2 linked regions of the Rhinolophus ferrumequinum genome follow. The protein of the gene in region 2 interacts with the protein of the main gene of each other region in a pairwise test. Links are inferred from orthologs where the notes say so. Each region holds a gene or a part of one and is shown on either strand. Other genes may lie near its edges.

Region 1 (7,371 bases), on a different chromosome or scaffold from region 2:
TCCCCCACGACTGCGAGAGTGTGAATCCCCCAGCCCCTCAGGTCCTGGAAGGCCGGGTGGTGGGCCCCAGGCCACCCCGGCTTCCGGGCTGACCCTCCCCCCGCCCCCGCCCGCCCTGGGCTCGCGCCCCGGCACATTCCGTCCTCCCCGCACCGCCCCGCCCTCCTCCCTCAGCCCCGCGGGGATGGAAACATCCCATCCGCGCCCAGCTGAGAGCTGGGTCAAGGAGCCCGACAAGAGGGGAGCGCCTGAGCCCCCGACGCCCCGGGAACTGGCTCTCCTGGTTCCTACCGGGTGACCTCACCTGGCCCCGCCCCCTCAGGTGAATGGCCAGGTCAGGTGACGTCACTTCCTGCCAGGTAAGCGCGGCTGGTGGCTGTGGCTCCGGGAAGGTTTGAAGGAACTGTGTGAATCGACTCAACCCGCTTCTAAAAAGGGGCACACCATCCTCCCCACTCTCACTGCCTCTAGATCGCAGGAAAGCCAGGATTCCAGTTTACACATAGATGCCTTTTATTCAAAAATTCAAAAAAACACAGAAAAATAAACTTTTAACAATATATATTACTTAATATATTATTATAGTACACTTACAACAATAATTATCCATCGTTTCCAATATTACAAAAAGGAGGAAGAAAAATACAAGGGAAGCAGACGACCCAATATATATAAATACTATAAAATCTATTAGAATAAATAAAGTCGTCATAAATAAAGGGCCCAATGATTGGGGGAGGGGGGTTGGCAACGTTTTGGCTACTTGCTTTTGGAGGGAAACTTGAGCACCAGGATTGCCCCTCATGGGGAGGCTCCAGTCACACCAGAACCTCAGGGTCTAGGAAAAACTGGGAGGGGGCAGTGGGGGCCTATTTATTCACAGCATTGGGCAGGGGAGAGGGTGGGGGGAAGAGGCCTCACTGCCTCCCTTAAATTTGCTACATCTTTTTTAATACAAAGACTTCAGAATACACTCCTTCCCCCAACACCATGAACTTGCACACTGGGGACCTGCCCCAGTATGGGGTCAGTGGAGTGGGTTAATGCATTTTGGAAGACGGGGGCTACTTGATTATAAGAGTTCCCCACAGTACAAGAGAAATGGCCCCCCTTAAGATCCAGCTGATCTGTACTGGGCAGGCACTTGTCACTCAGACACGGAGATGCGATTGAAGATGGGGAGTCGCCGAGAGGCTGCAGGTGGCTGGGGTGGCCCAAAAACCCCAGCCTCAAAGACTGGTGAGTCGGACCCTCCCAGGCTGCTGCCGCTACTGGCATATTCATCAGGGTCAGATCCCAGGGAGTGTGCAGAGGGGCTCCGAGCCAGGCCACCCACGGGTCCCCAGACGCTGCTGGGTGTGGCCCTTCGGCAGGAGGGACAACAGGCTGGGGTAGGGTCCCTTCGGGCCACAGGGGTCCCAGGGGCAGCAGAGAAGGCAGAGGGTGAAAGTGGAAAATCCCCAGGTGGTGGTGGTGGGGAGCTGGAGGGCGAGAAGGAGCATGAGGACAGGGAAGGGCCTGCTAGGCCTGCCGGTGGTGGCGAGGCTCGGCGGCCTGAGGGCAGGCCTGAGAAGCTGATGCTCTGGCGCAGGACATGGGGGTGGCCAGGGGCAGCCAGGTCCTCGCTGGGGTTGTGAATGAAGTGGCAACGCGAGCCATAGGGGCAGCGGCCCTGGAGGTAGAACTTGTGGCAGAGTTCCGTCTTGTACTTGGGGTGGCGACTGGCCTGGCGCAGCTCACCCAGGCCATGGGCAAACTGGCACTTAGCCCCGTAGCGGCAGCGTCCACTCTCTGAGAAGGTCCGACAAAGCTCAGTCTTGTATCGGGATGAGGTGGTGGGGGTCGCAGTAGGTGAGGTGGGTGAGGGCGACAGCTCAGGGCCTGGGCGGGGAGGCAGGGGTGCGAAGCCTGGGGGTGGGGGCACCCAGCCACAGCTCCGACCCTCCACCAGGCTGGTGGAGCGGCCAGGCAGGCGGGCAACAACCCCAGATGGGTTGGAATCAGATGAGCTGAAGCTCCAGAGTCCTGAGGAGGCCCAGCCTGGGCTGGATTCAGTGTCTCCATGGTCGGATGGCAGGTCAGGGCTCAGCGACAGGAGGCTCTGTGGGAACAGGGATCGGTTAAGACACCGAAAATGCAGGGTGACGCCTCTCCTCAGCTTCAGGGCACCTAGGAGCTTGCCAGTCCGGTTTGTGGGCTCCTAGCCTTAGCCCCACCCGCCCGCAGAAACTCATAGGTTCCGGATCGGAGGGACCCCGAATTGGAGGTTGAGTTTATTAGCGAATGAAGCCTATCTCGAAGGACCCAGGAATCCTGGGTCCCCCGGCTGGATGGAGAGGCCCCCAAACTCAGGGGCACACCAATGCCCTCCAATTTTGAGCCTTCGGGCCTCTTGGGATTTGACCCCCACTCCTTGTGTTCTCTGGTTTCACAACTGGAGGAGCCGGCAAAGTTAACCTAGCAGTTGGATCTTTTAGGTTTTGAGTCCCAGAGAACTCCTCTGGGTCAGGGAGTGGAGACAGAAGTCGGTTTCCCATCACCCCGAGACTCCAGCCCCAGAAACGCCTCCGCGCAAAACCGCGCCCTCAGCAACTACTGGGGGGAAGCCAGGTGTGGGGCCATTTCCGCCTCCACACAGCCCTAGTCTGAGAAAACTCCTCCCGCTTTCCATCTCCAAGGGTCACCCCACCCATGTTTGGGCAGAGACCCTAAAGTCGCGGGCTCCATTTTTCACCTCCAAGGAATCACATTAGTCTGAGAAGGAAGGCAAGAGCCCGGCCGGAGAGTACGGCGCTAAGGAGTTCCACTTAGAGAAGAGAGCCAGGGATCCCGGGCTGGAGTTTGCGGCGGTAGAGAGCCCTAGTTTGAGAAGGAAGTCAGGCATTGGGACCCCAGGGTACCGATCGGCGGAGACTCACCTCGTAGATGGCGGTGAGATCCATGGCGGCGCGGAGAGCCGATCAACGGTGAACCCGGCCGAAAGTAGGAGAGCGCTGGAGTGAGACTACCGCCCGGTGTAGGAGCCGGTGCTTTTATGAGATAAGTGGAGGCGGGGCCATGAGGGGGCGGGCCTGGTGGGCGGGGTCACGATGGGGCGCTTCCCGGACGCGCGCCCCCAGCGCAGCCCGCCGACCCGGGACTGGTCCCGGTTCCGCCTGGCTCCCAGCCCGGATGCGCACGAGCTGGGCCCGCAGGCGGCCGCGACCCGGTGGGGAGTTTGTGGGGTGCGGGTATCCACCCAGTTTTCAAGGCTGGAGACTGAGGCGCGATATAGGAACTGGGACCGAGGTGGGGGCAGGGTTCCTAGGAGAACTGACAAGGGCAGAGGCCGAGGCAGTGGGAGTGCGTGTGAGAGACAGACGGACGGGGGCGGGGAGAGGCGCGGAGAGCCAGAGACGGAGAAATGGAGAGAGGCAAACAGAAAAACACAAGAGACACAGCAGAGTGAGGGAGAGACATACACAGGGAAGGAGAGAGAGAGGGAAGAGAAGAGAGACTGGGTAAGGAGAGGAGAGGAGGTGGGGAGACAGACAGAAAAGACATGACAGAGACAGTCCCAGAAACAAATTCAGAGAAGTGAGAGGGAGGGTCACATAAAGAAACAGAAAAAGAGGTTGAAAAAATAGAAACAAACACCCTTAGACAGAAATCCGCAGGAGCAAAACAGAGAAAGGCAACCAACAGGCTTGGCAGGGAATTCTCTCCCGAGACCTGCCGGCCTGGCTTCGTCTCGCTCAAACATCCCAGATCCGGAGACCTTGACCGCCCTCCCCGCCCCCACTCTCCAGGGGTGGGGTCCTGGATATTTGGCGAGGCTGGAAAGGGGCCTCCTTTCCCAATTCCAGAGCCACTGTAGCCTCTCGCCCTCCCACAGATAGTGGCACTTCTGATCGCTTCCTCTAGGCTAGGCACTGTTGTATGAAAGTGTTTTACATACATACATTAACTCAAGGAGGGGTTACTGTGACCATTTTATACACGAGGAAACCCAGGCATAGAGGTCAAGTTACTCTCCTATTCTCATTCAATAAGTGGCAGCAGCCCAACACCAGGGCTTTAAATTATGTTGCATTTGCCTTCTCGGAGAACTCAAGATCGGAAAGGGCAAGATCTTTCATTGTGGTGGCGGGTTACCTTGATGGAAAGCTGTTTTGATATGGAAGTAATGGGTCATCCCCAATTGATAGCCCAATGGGTATCATAAAGGGGTGTACCTTGAGGGAATTCTAAACTTACGGGGATCACTCCCCACATAAGCAAGCCGTTTATTGGTAAGCGGTTGCCCTTCGTAAAAACATCAAGATCTGGGAAGAAAACTCGTTTCTTAAGGGAGTCTTGGTGAGCTGGCTGCCCTGAGTGAAAATATGGGAGCAGAAACCATTGCCATGGAGTGCTGTTATAATAGTGCCAAGTTCATTCTTGCAGATTGAAGTGGGGAGATTCGGCAAGGCACACCGACCCGCCTTGTCGGACAGAGCTCGGGGAAATCCCTGGTGCGGCGCCTTCTGGGGCTGAGGGGGCCTTCCCGACCAGTCCCGTGAGCTGGGTGGCTGCGGGCGGCTCTGGCACGGTTGCAGCCTCCCGCTCGCCCGTGACTCACTCGCAAGGGGCGGGGGAGGGGGCCTTCCTGGAAGCCGTGACGAGGAGGCTCAGCCCGGACGCCAGGGTTCCTCTCCTGTAACCAGGGCTTCAGTCGCCTGTAAACAGAGCCTCGAGGACAACGGGAAAAGGGGGGAAAGGCGGGGTGCCTGGCACCCGTCTCCCGGTTGGGCTCCAAATCCCTGTGCCGCTAGTAGGACGAAGGCAGCAGGAAAACGGGAGGTGGGGTGCACCTGGGGTCCCCGGAGTCCGGCTTGGCGCCAGCCTCGATCTGGGAGGAGGGATTCCAGTTTCGATTCCCTGGAGACAGGGAACATTTCCCATCCCTGAGTCAGGCTGACCCCCTCCCCTCTCCCATCTGCTGAGTCATCGGCCCAAGAGCCTGGACGCTTTGGATTGGGCGACTCTTGAAGAGGCTGGAAGGGGGTTGGGGGGGCTTTGCACCGGAAAGGACCGACCCCGAAACCCGGACGGGTGGGACCCAGGAGACCGGGCCTCGATCCCTCCTTGCTCAGATCTAGGGGTCCAGGTCTCCAAGCCACCTCTGGCTTAGACCCAGGAGAGCCGACCTCCAGTCCCTCCTAGGTTAGACCCTAAAGTCCGAACCCCCAGCCCCTCCTCCCTCCGATTTAGGAGGCCAGCTCTCCACCCACCTCCCACCCTATCCTGGCCTCAGACGTCCCAGCCCAGGAGGAAATTCAGGGCAGGACTCCTCCCCACGCCCCACGTAGCCGGCGGGAAAATCCGTGGCCCCAGCGGCGGCCGGGAATCCCCTCTGGAATGACGGTGGGGAAGGGGATGGCCGGGGTCCCCGGCGGGGTGCAGGGGGCAACTCCTGGGCGGGCAGGAGCTGGGGGAAAGGGGCGGAAACCAGAGAAGCTAAAAATACAACGAGCACTTCCGGCCTAGGGGGAGGGGAACGGAGCGCAGTTTCCAGAAAAACAAGCGGGGACGGGAAATGCGGGGGTGTGAGAGCCGGGGCTAGTGCGCGGGCGAGCGGGGGCCGTGTACTCGCGGCGGCACGTGTGCCCAGGCCGAGTGTGCGCCTGGTGTGATTGGGCGTGAGCGGGTGCGGCCGGCTTTGTGCAACTGCGTGGGCCTGAGAAAGAGAGAGAGAGAGAGAGAGAGAGAGAGAGAGAGAGAGAGAGAGAGAGAGAGAGAGAGAGAGAGAGAGAGAGAGAGAGAGAGAGAGAGAGAGAGAGAGAGAGAGTTTGTGTGTGTATATGTGTGTCGTATATTGTGTGAAGTATGCGCTGCAGGTGCGAAGGTGTGTGCCCTGGCGTGACTGGGTTAAGACCTGGGGTACCTGGGTATGCCATTGCACCAATAGGTGTGGGACACGAGCGGGCCCACTTCCCTGTGTGAGGGCTGTGTATTTTCAATCCCACTTGACATGGCTGTGAATAAATTGTGTGAAACCGCTTGGGCCTGTGACTGATTTATACTGTTTTTACTTTAACCATCTCTGGGTGTGGGAGTGTGTACTCAACCTTGTCTTTGAGGTGGTGTTGGTGTGACTTACAAACCCAACCTGCAGGTCTCTTGTACCTCTGAACCACTGTGGGATCTGGAGTGACTAAGTGTGTGTAACTCCGTGAGAGCCTGGTGAGGGTATGACTGACTGCCCTCTGCTGCGATGAGGATCTGCATACACACGTCCAAGTTGAGTATGTATAAGCATCTGTGAGACTATTGGCAGTTGCGGCTGTGTACAGGCCCCTGCAGTTCATGTGTGTAGTGAATAGTGTTCTTATGTGTCTGTGTCCTTATTTGGGGGTGTCACTGAGAACATACGAGGCCAGCATCTGGTGGTTCCTCTGTGGCCCAGTCACAAGGTAGTGAAACTGGTGAACTTTGGTTCCTGACGTCTACAGCTGGCGCATGACGGGGAGGTTGTGGGCGCACTCTCCACTCCATGTCTCTGCCAGCCTGTATGGGCAGAGCAGACACACACAGGCGCACATACTGGCACCTGGGAAACCTTATCTCTCCCAGCCAAGGCTGCTTTTGATAATGTTGAGCTGAGGGCATGGCTGAGTCAGCCAGTGATGGGCAAAGTCTGCGATGGGGTAAGAGATAGCAGGTTAAGTAGTGGTTAGAGTGCTGTTTGTGTATTCACATGGATTGTTCCTTTAGTCTGATGTGGGTTTGTCACTGGGACTGAGAGCCTGGGGACACCATGATAATAGGATGGTGGGTTATGCTATTCTCTGCTGGGGTGGGGTCTTGTATGTGCTTGTGTCCCCCAAAACAGTTTGCTGTGTGGCAGTGCATCTCATGTACACCCTTCCCTGGAGAGTGTGGTCGTGCAACAGGCTGTACGTTGCCCTCTGGGTCAAATAACCTAGTGAAGATCTAAACCAAGGGCCTCCATAACCTGCCTGGACATCTGTCCCTGCCTCTTCACTGTGGTCCAGGACTCCACGTTATTCCATAAACACACTGTCACTTTCCAGCCTCAGGGCCTTTGCACTTGCCATTCCCGTCCTGGAACGCTCTTTTCCCCAATGTCCACATTATTCTCTCTCCAAGTCTGCTTTCTCATCGAGGCCTTCATGTCATGTCAAGGATTTTAAAAGTTAAAAAAACCCACAAATCTTGGTATATTTAACAAATAACAAATACATGTAACATCTATTTACAGACCATAATGAATACCCATGAACCACTACCCAACCTAAGCTCTAACTTTCTCAATAAAGTAACATAATTCTCCACACAAGTCTTGCATGTTAGATTCCTAAGTACCTTTGTTATTTTTTTCTATTAAAA
Region 2 (8,163 bases):
TGCTGAGTATCTTATGTTACTCCATTTTTTTCTGACATAACGCACTGGTATCAAAAACTGTGATGGGAACCTAATTTTCTTTTCCTTATAAGGCATGTGTTCTTTCTTCTAAATAACCAAAGCTTTTTGTCTTTTTCTTTTTCTTTGAAGTCCGGTAAGTTTACTAGACTAGGTCTTGGTGTTGGTCACCTGAATCAATATTTTTAGGTACATGGTATATTCTTTCAACGTGCAATTTCAAATATATATTTTTTTAATTTCAGGAAAATTTTCTTTAATTCTAGTATTTGTTTTAATTGCTTTGATTTCGTTTTTCAGGAACCCATTATTTGTTTTCTTTGCCTATCTTTTTAGTTACTTTCTCTTAAACCTTTATCTTTTAAAATTTCCTCTTCTACCTTTTTTTCCTCACCTTTTTTTTTACCTCGTGGCATCATTTGCTTTTGCCTTGCTACTACTTTAGGTTCCATTTCTGAAATGATTTTTTCATGTATGTTTAATTTTCCCTAGGTTCTGTCCCTTACTTCTGAATTTCCATAATTGATAAATGTTCTTTCACGTCTTATATCATTTTCTTAGTGTCTTTTAGCTCATTCTGAAATAGTAAGTTATAGTTGTGGTCTGTTTTGTGTGCATATTTTTATCGCAAGCTTTTATTGTCTGGGGGTGTACTATTTTGTTCCTTTTTTTCCCTGTAATAACTTTGCATGTTATTTTCACCTTGATACTTTTCTGTTGCTCATTTTTATGTAAATTTAATTTTCCTGAACTTTTAGAATGAGGAAGGGTTCAGGAAAGCCATAACTTCACAAGCTCCCTCTTCTGCTGTTTTGGGGTAGTGTTAAAAATTGGGTGGTTTGGTTGGTGGTTGTTTTCTAAGATTTCTTGACTTTGTAACCTCCCCCCACTTTTATCTGGACCTTCCTCTTCTCTTTTCTCTATTGTCCCTTTTCTGATAAAATTTCATTTTACTTCCAGCAGTTTCTCCTTAGTGTGGGCTCTGCCTTAGAATGGGGCCTTGGTAAGTCAGTTTGGAGAGTCCACAGGAGGTAGACTGCTCCTGCCCTTTAAAACGCCTTATTTACAGCTAGTTATCTAACTGGCCCTCAGAGTCTTTTAGGGAATATTCTGGAGTTCTCTTGTTCTCAGGTCCACAGATATTTCCCCATTGCTTCTTCCTTTCTCTTGCAGAAATGCCAATACTGATTGGGTCTAGAAGCTATTGGTAATTTGTCCTCAACTCCTTATATTCGTGGGGATACCCTGTTATGTGGTTTTGTTGTAATTGTTCTATGGATTTTAAGTTTTGCTATCTAATTGCTCTTTCTGTTTTTATGTAAGGATTCAGAGACCAAAACCTATGCTAGTATCACCACCACCACCCATCCTCTTTCCAGAACCCACCCCTCCTCCCAACCTTTTTCCAACCCCCTCCCCCCAGAACTAGCTTTTGAACCATTGTGATTCAGGCATTCGCATCTTTTATGTACTGCTTGAGAGAGTAGCATGGTAACCCTTTCTAACATTTGCTTTTGTGGTTGTTGTTAACAACCAGAATCAAAAATTTTTGAAACACATCATTTTGATGAACCCAGTTTAAATCTACCCTTAGTGTTCACGTCATAAAACTGCCTTGAAGAGACTGTTTTTGTTCTTCAGTAACAAACTCCTCAGCATGGAGAGAATAAGGGATACTTATTCTCTCCAAACCAAATTCTGTGCCAAAGAGTACAGAGCAAAAATATCACTGAACAAACTATGTATTATCAAGTCAGCTTCAATAACAATCACATTTTTTTCCACTTGAGAGAGAGAAAATGAATGATGTATTACAGATACTCAAACCTTTTTTGAATGAAGGACCAGGAAAAGTCAGTTTGTCGTCTCTATTTCTGCAATATACTGGTAACCTTTTTTACCCTCTTCTCTGGAAAGAAATGTCTGCCTAAATCTAACTCAACCCATGTTTCAAACAAATTAAAGGCAGACTACCATTTTGGAATTTTTTGTAAGCTTTTCCTCATTTACCAAATCTGATGGTGATCCAACAACAAGGAATCCTTTCTGGAAATTTAGCCCTACCTTCATGCTATGGTGTATTTTTAAAAAAGATTAAACCATAATTTAACAGCATGATGGTTGGTGTTGGATGGATGAACACCCCCGACTACGAATACAATGCTACCTATCACAATCAATTCAATTACCTATACACATTTCAAAACTATTTTTTTTCTGTAAAGCAGACAAGAGGTCTACTAAAATCATTAAATGTGACAAACACGTATCACCGAAAGTCTAGCAGTCTAAATGACTGCTTTCTATTCCTTCACAGTTGCGATATATACACTTCATTTTTGGAATGTACACATAAACGTCACCCTGGGCTCGTTATATACCAAATATTGCTGTAAGTAGTGTCTCTCCCTGACACACACACCTCCGCATGATGCCCCTTCCCCGTCCAAGTGTGTTTTGTTTTGGGGGGGAATGGGCATGCGGGGAGCCTCGGCGCCGGGTGGGGCGGGACGCAGCCTCCTCTAGAGGAGAGTAAACAAGGGGATTGCGTCGCGGAGGCGGCAGGAATCGCCCGTCCGTGGGTCCGTGGGTCCGTGGCCTTGGGCGGGGCCGGGAGGTCCCGGGCGGACGCCCTCGGCTCTGCGCTGGGAAACGCACCCTGCAGCTCCGGGGAGCACAGGGAAGAGGCGCTCAGTACGGCGCACTGGCCCAGCACCCGCTTTCGGAATCGCGGAAGGGCCTGCCAGGCAGGGAGCTGTCAGAACTGCGGCGCCCCCGAGGCTGCGCGCACAGAAACGCAGCCTGTCGTCGCCCCATTCGGGTCATCCGGGCGTCCGCAGCCCTTCTGCTGCCCTCGCCTCGCCACCCAGCCGGCAGACGACGAGCAGAAAGGGGGACTGGAGAGCCCCCGTCCCCGGGGGGAGCGGGCCGCGGGGCCCCGGGTCCTCGGCCTGCGGAGCCGCTGCCCCTCGCTCACCCACCTGATGCTCTTTCACCACTTCGCTGAGGCAGGGATACCGCTCCGAGATCCATCGGTAGAACTTGGGGACTCCCATTTCGACTGTCAACACTAACTCACCAGGGACAAACCGAAACCAAACGCCCCGCCGGGGCCTACACTCCGGGGCCTCCGGCCGTCGCTCCGCCGATGACAACACACCGCCCGCCGGATCATAGAGAGCGCCGCCGGGCCTAGAGCGGCCGGCTTCGAGGCCACATCCCCGGGGCGGGGCTCCGATCCCGGCCCCAGCTCACCGCGTGTGCTCGCTGCAGGGCACGTCTAAGAGCCCGAGGCGTTTGCGAGGTGAGTGTTCAACTCAGTTCTGAAAATGCCTGTTTACAGGCCATAAGGGGATTTGCAAGTGCTGCGAAACACTCACCTGATTGCTGGAGAGAGAATACTGAACACTGATTTTTGTCCTGGCTGCTTGAGTCGCCCGTGATGCTCATCTCGGTATTTTCAACACAGATTTGGAAAGGTCTGGTGATTTATTTGGTTTAGTTTTGTTTGGTGAGGGGGAGTTTTTTTCGGCAAAGTTTCTTTTAAAAACATTCTTTAACAAGTTATTTGTTGGAAAAAAATGTCCTAACTCCCTCCACCTCCCATCCCCGCCCAGCTTCCTCCTCAACTATTAATATTAGGCCTTAGATACGAAATTCTGTGTTTAGTTTTCACATTCATACCTCCTGGCTTATAGTGTTTTCCCCATCTCACTTTCAACCATGCAAAAAAATGCAGAATTCTCTCAAGTGAACTTACGTGAAATCATGTTACAAAGTTTTCCATTTATTTTAATGTAATAACCTCACTGCTTTGTAATTATTATGAATTATGTTAGGTCTTCTGCAGGAAAACCTGAAAAAATTAAAAAATTTTTTTTGTAGTTTTAAAATCTCATGAAATTTCAAGTGTTGCTGCCTTCCAAGACCACTGGATTCTGTATTTGGGTGTTTCAGTATGGCAGCATCTTCAAAATTACAGAATGTTTCTATAGTTTTCATATTCGTGCTTCGTGGCTTGTTTTTTTTCTCTATCACATTTTCAGCCATACACAAAAAAGAGTTTATTAAGTGAACTTATGTGATGTGCTATTTATGTTTGTATCTCTGATTTACTAGACTGTCAGTTTCTAGAGGGCAGAATACATAAGCTCTGAGCACAAATCTAGCACCGTGCTTGGTGCACAGAATTTATTAACATATTTTTGTGTTCAAATGAATCCTTATGCTATTGAGTACTTAAAAATAAAAGTTGTAAAATGAAATTAGGCTAGATTTTTTCTTGCAAATACATATTTTTAGAGCATCAAAACATAGGATGTTCCATTTCTCTGGTTATAATACACACTATATATTAAGAAAGCAATTTATTTCTTAATAACATATATTATTTTAAATATTATTAACAATCAAGGAGAAATAATACCAGTTGCTCTGAGAACATAAAGCAGCTTATGTTGAACTTTGGAATTGAACAAATACAACCACAAATTAATACCAAGTGCATTAATTTTAGGTTATTAACATATTCTTTGAAGTAATTTCATTTCACATATATGGGGTCCAACCAAGGTACATTTGGCATAGTAAATTTTCATCAGTAGCTTCTTGTATAAGGTAATGCACATGTCCTTCAATAGATAATGGCAGCCCAGTCACTCTATTTCGGGTCTTGATTACACCTTGCAGTCTCTGCTCAATGTCAAGAACATGAGTCTTGGCCTAAAAGGAAGAAATTGAAAATCATAAAGGCTAAAATAAAAACTCAATGACATGTGCATGTTGATTTTGGAATTACTACCTTTCTGTTATTTAACAAATGTTAATGCCATTTTACCCCTTATGTAAGAGCAAATACAAAAGAGAGAAGAAATGAAACAAGAACGACAACCTACAATAACTGACTTTAAGGCTTGCAATGTTGATCCAACATCAACTGCTTAGACATTTTTCTGTAGTATGTGAAAACCAGGGATATCTCTTCCACATTATAATTCTAGAAAAATAGTAACTTTAAAAAATCTATCCTGAATCTGTTTAGGACTTAAATATTTGGATGAATATTCTAATAATAACAACAATACTTTAATGCCTAATATTTAGATTATGTTAGTATATGCAAATAGAAGTGCTAAGTGAGCTAGTTAGAATTTACACATTTCTCTCAATCGAAAAAGCATATCAGAATGCAAAAGTGAGAATGATGTTAGAAAAACAATCTTCCATCTATTCTAACTTATAAAAATAACTATCTGCAAACTTGGATGCTTCAACTAATATTAGTAAGGAGTGAATTCTACATATTAAAGCTGAGACCTGTTACTGTGTAAGTCCACGCAATTTGTCTTCAAGTTTTTCCCACTCTATCTCATAATTGTGAATTGTCTATGGCTAAACAAGTGTGACCTGAACTCTGCTTTTATTATACAAAGATAATGTTAACATTAGTAATGACAATAAAGAAAACTTAGGGTATTGACATACTACAGAACTGGATTTCAGAGTACTCCATGGTCAGTCACTGACAGTATTTAGAATCAGCTTGCGTTTGTAGAGATACACAATATCAAATCAAGCTACACCTTCTACAAACCTTTTCATTGACGACTTCCCCAGTTTCATTTGGTGGCGCTTTGGAATGGCCTTTCACCGGTTTACTCCATTCCACAAGAGGATCATGTAGAAAAGTCTTTAAGACACTGAAATGGAAACAAAAATATTATGGTAATAATACAGTGTTATCTTTGCAAAAAGAAATCTTGATAAAGTCAATACTTAGGTGAAAAATAAGTGAAGGATGAAAAGCTAATGGTAATGCTCTTACACAATTACTGTTTCAGTAAAATATATGAAATTATTCTTTTGGGGTATGGAGGGAAGGGGAAGACAAAAGACAGGGTCAGAGGTATTCTTAGAGAGTAAAGAAAGATGAGTTCTGTGTGCTGTCTCTAAATGCATCATGTAAACTGGTTAACGAATATTTATTAAATGAGTGAATTTCATCCCCTGCCATGTCTCCACAATGACCATAAAACATCTATAGCTTTCCATGTAGACCAGGGGTGTCCAAACTTTTTTCAACGGTTTTCACCAAGGGCCATATGCAGTAAAATACACAAACAGCCGGGCCACTCACTCGAGGTGAAGTACATACTGCCTCACCGGGTTTATTTAAGTAAACTAAATATATTTTTGGAATTTGCTGCGGGCCAATTAAAAATGGATTGCGGACCACAGTTGGCCCGCGGGCCGCAGTTTGGACACCCGTGATACAGACCTACCCAGATTCTTCTACTATGCTCTAAAAGTCAAATCCAATTCCCTGTGGGAAAACCAAATGGGTATCTTGTAGGCACATCAAATTCAATGTTTTCAAAACAAAACTCATGACTCTTTCCCAAACTATATCTCCTGTATTCCTCAAATCAGTAAAGAACGACATTATTCACCCATTGGCCCTAAACAAAAATCTAGGAATCATCCTGGCTTCCTCAATTCTACCTCCTAAATCTCTTTAGAGTCTCTCTACTTATCTCCATCTTTACTGTCACTACCTCATTCAGTGCACCATCATTTTTTTCTTGGGTTAATGCAACAGTCCTTTAACTAGCTTTCTGGACTCTAGTGCAAACTGGAACTATAATTTTTCTACAGTACAAATCTGATGATCTCATTTTCTCTTCTTTTTTTATTTTCTTCTTAGTATCCTCCAATGATTTCTGGTTGTTCTCAGGGCAAAGTTTGAATGTGTAAACTGGCCTCATGTGGACTTTTCAGAATCTAGCTCTGCTCATCTGTCCTTAAAAAAAACTACTGTTGAGCTTTGAACGATACAGGTTTGAACTGTGCAGGTCCACTTATATGTAGATTTTTTCAATAAATATGTACCGTACTATAATTACAATTTTCTTAATAACATTAGCTTTTTTCTGGTTTACTTTTTATTGTAAGAATACAGTACATAAAAAACACGAAACATACAAATTATGTGTTAATCAACTGTTTACGAGTAAGACTTCCAGACAACTGTAGGCTATTAGTAGTTATGTTTTTGGGGAGTTACATGCAGATTTTCAACTGTGCAGGGGGTCAGTGCCCCTAATCCCCATAATGTTCAAGGGTCAACTGTACCTCCAACAGCTAACATAATATTTAATAGTGAAAGATGGACTTCTTTACCACTGAAATCAGGACAAGACAAGAATGTAGATTCTCTCCATGTCTACTTAACATTGATCTAGCTAGGGCAATTGGGCAAGAAAAAGAAAAGGCATTGAGATTAGAAAGGAAGGAGTAAAACTGTATCTGCAGATGATGTGCTGTTGTAGAGAGAAAAATTTAACGTGTCTACAAAAATAACTATAAGAAGTAATAAACAAGTTCAGTGAGGTTGCAGGATACAAGATCAATCTACAAATATCAGTTATATTTCTATATACTAGCAATCAACAATTCAAAAATGAAACTAAGAATATCCCACTAGAATAGCATTAAAAGGAATAAAATACTTAAAAACTTGCAAACCAAAAACTACAAAATGTTGAAAGAAATTAAAGAAGACTTAAATAGAAAGCAATCTCACATGCACAGATCACAAGACTTAATACTGGTAAGACTGCAATACTTCTCAAATTGATTTAGATTCAATGTCATTCCTATCAAATCCAGGCTGTCTTTTTGCAGAGATTGACAAGTTGATCTTAAAATTCAGATGGAAATGCAAGGGACCCGTAACAGCCAAACAATCTTGCAAAAGATGAAAATGTTGAGCACTCACACTTCCTGATTTAAAAACTGACTACAAAGCTACAGTGATCCAGTGTGTGTTCTTGGCATTCGTTAGAAATAAAGATCAATGGAATAAAACTGAGAGCACAGAAATAAACCCTTATGTATATGGTAAATTGATTTCAACAAAAGTGCCAAGACAAATAAACTAATCAGAAACAGTCTCGGAGACATAGAGGAAAAACTGAGGGTTGCTAGATGGGAGGGGGGGGGGGAATAAGGGGGTAGATGAGGGGATTAGAAAGCAGTCAGTAACCATAAGATTGCCATGGGGATACGAAAGTCAATTTGGGGAATCTAATCAATACTGTTGTAAAGATTTTGTAGGGTATTCGATGGACACTTGTCTCATTAGGG

The links. The genes of interacting proteins can lie anywhere in the genome.
Region 1: the proteins of XRN1 (region 2) and ZFP36 interact in a two-hybrid assay, tested with the Homo sapiens proteins (2 studies listed by BioGRID). The link is inferred for Rhinolophus ferrumequinum from reciprocal best matches to the Homo sapiens genes XRN1 and ZFP36.

The regions. Positions count from the first base shown.
Region 1 is NC_046298.1:38,568,321-38,575,691, reverse strand, and holds ZFP36 (mRNA decay activator protein ZFP36), read right to left. Parts: upstream 3,043-7,371; 5' UTR 2,943-3,042; coding exon 2,919-2,942; intron 2,102-2,918; coding exon 1,148-2,101; 3' UTR 512-1,147; downstream 1-511. UniProt on the Homo sapiens protein: Zinc-finger RNA-binding protein that destabilizes several cytoplasmic AU-rich element (ARE)-containing mRNA transcripts by promoting their poly(A) tail removal or deadenylation, and hence provide a mechanism for attenuating protein synthesis.
Region 2 is NC_046285.1:1,789,644-1,797,806, forward strand, and holds the start of XRN1 (5'-3' exoribonuclease 1), read right to left. Parts: upstream 3,216-8,163; 5' UTR 3,075-3,215; coding exon 3,000-3,074; intron 1-2,999. Other genes in the region: serine/threonine-protein kinase ATR, read right to left, coding at 4,567-4,740, 5,612-5,717. UniProt on the Homo sapiens protein: Major 5'-3' exoribonuclease involved in mRNA decay. Required for the 5'-3'-processing of the G4 tetraplex-containing DNA and RNA substrates. The kinetic of hydrolysis is faster for G4 RNA tetraplex than for G4 DNA tetraplex and monomeric RNA tetraplex.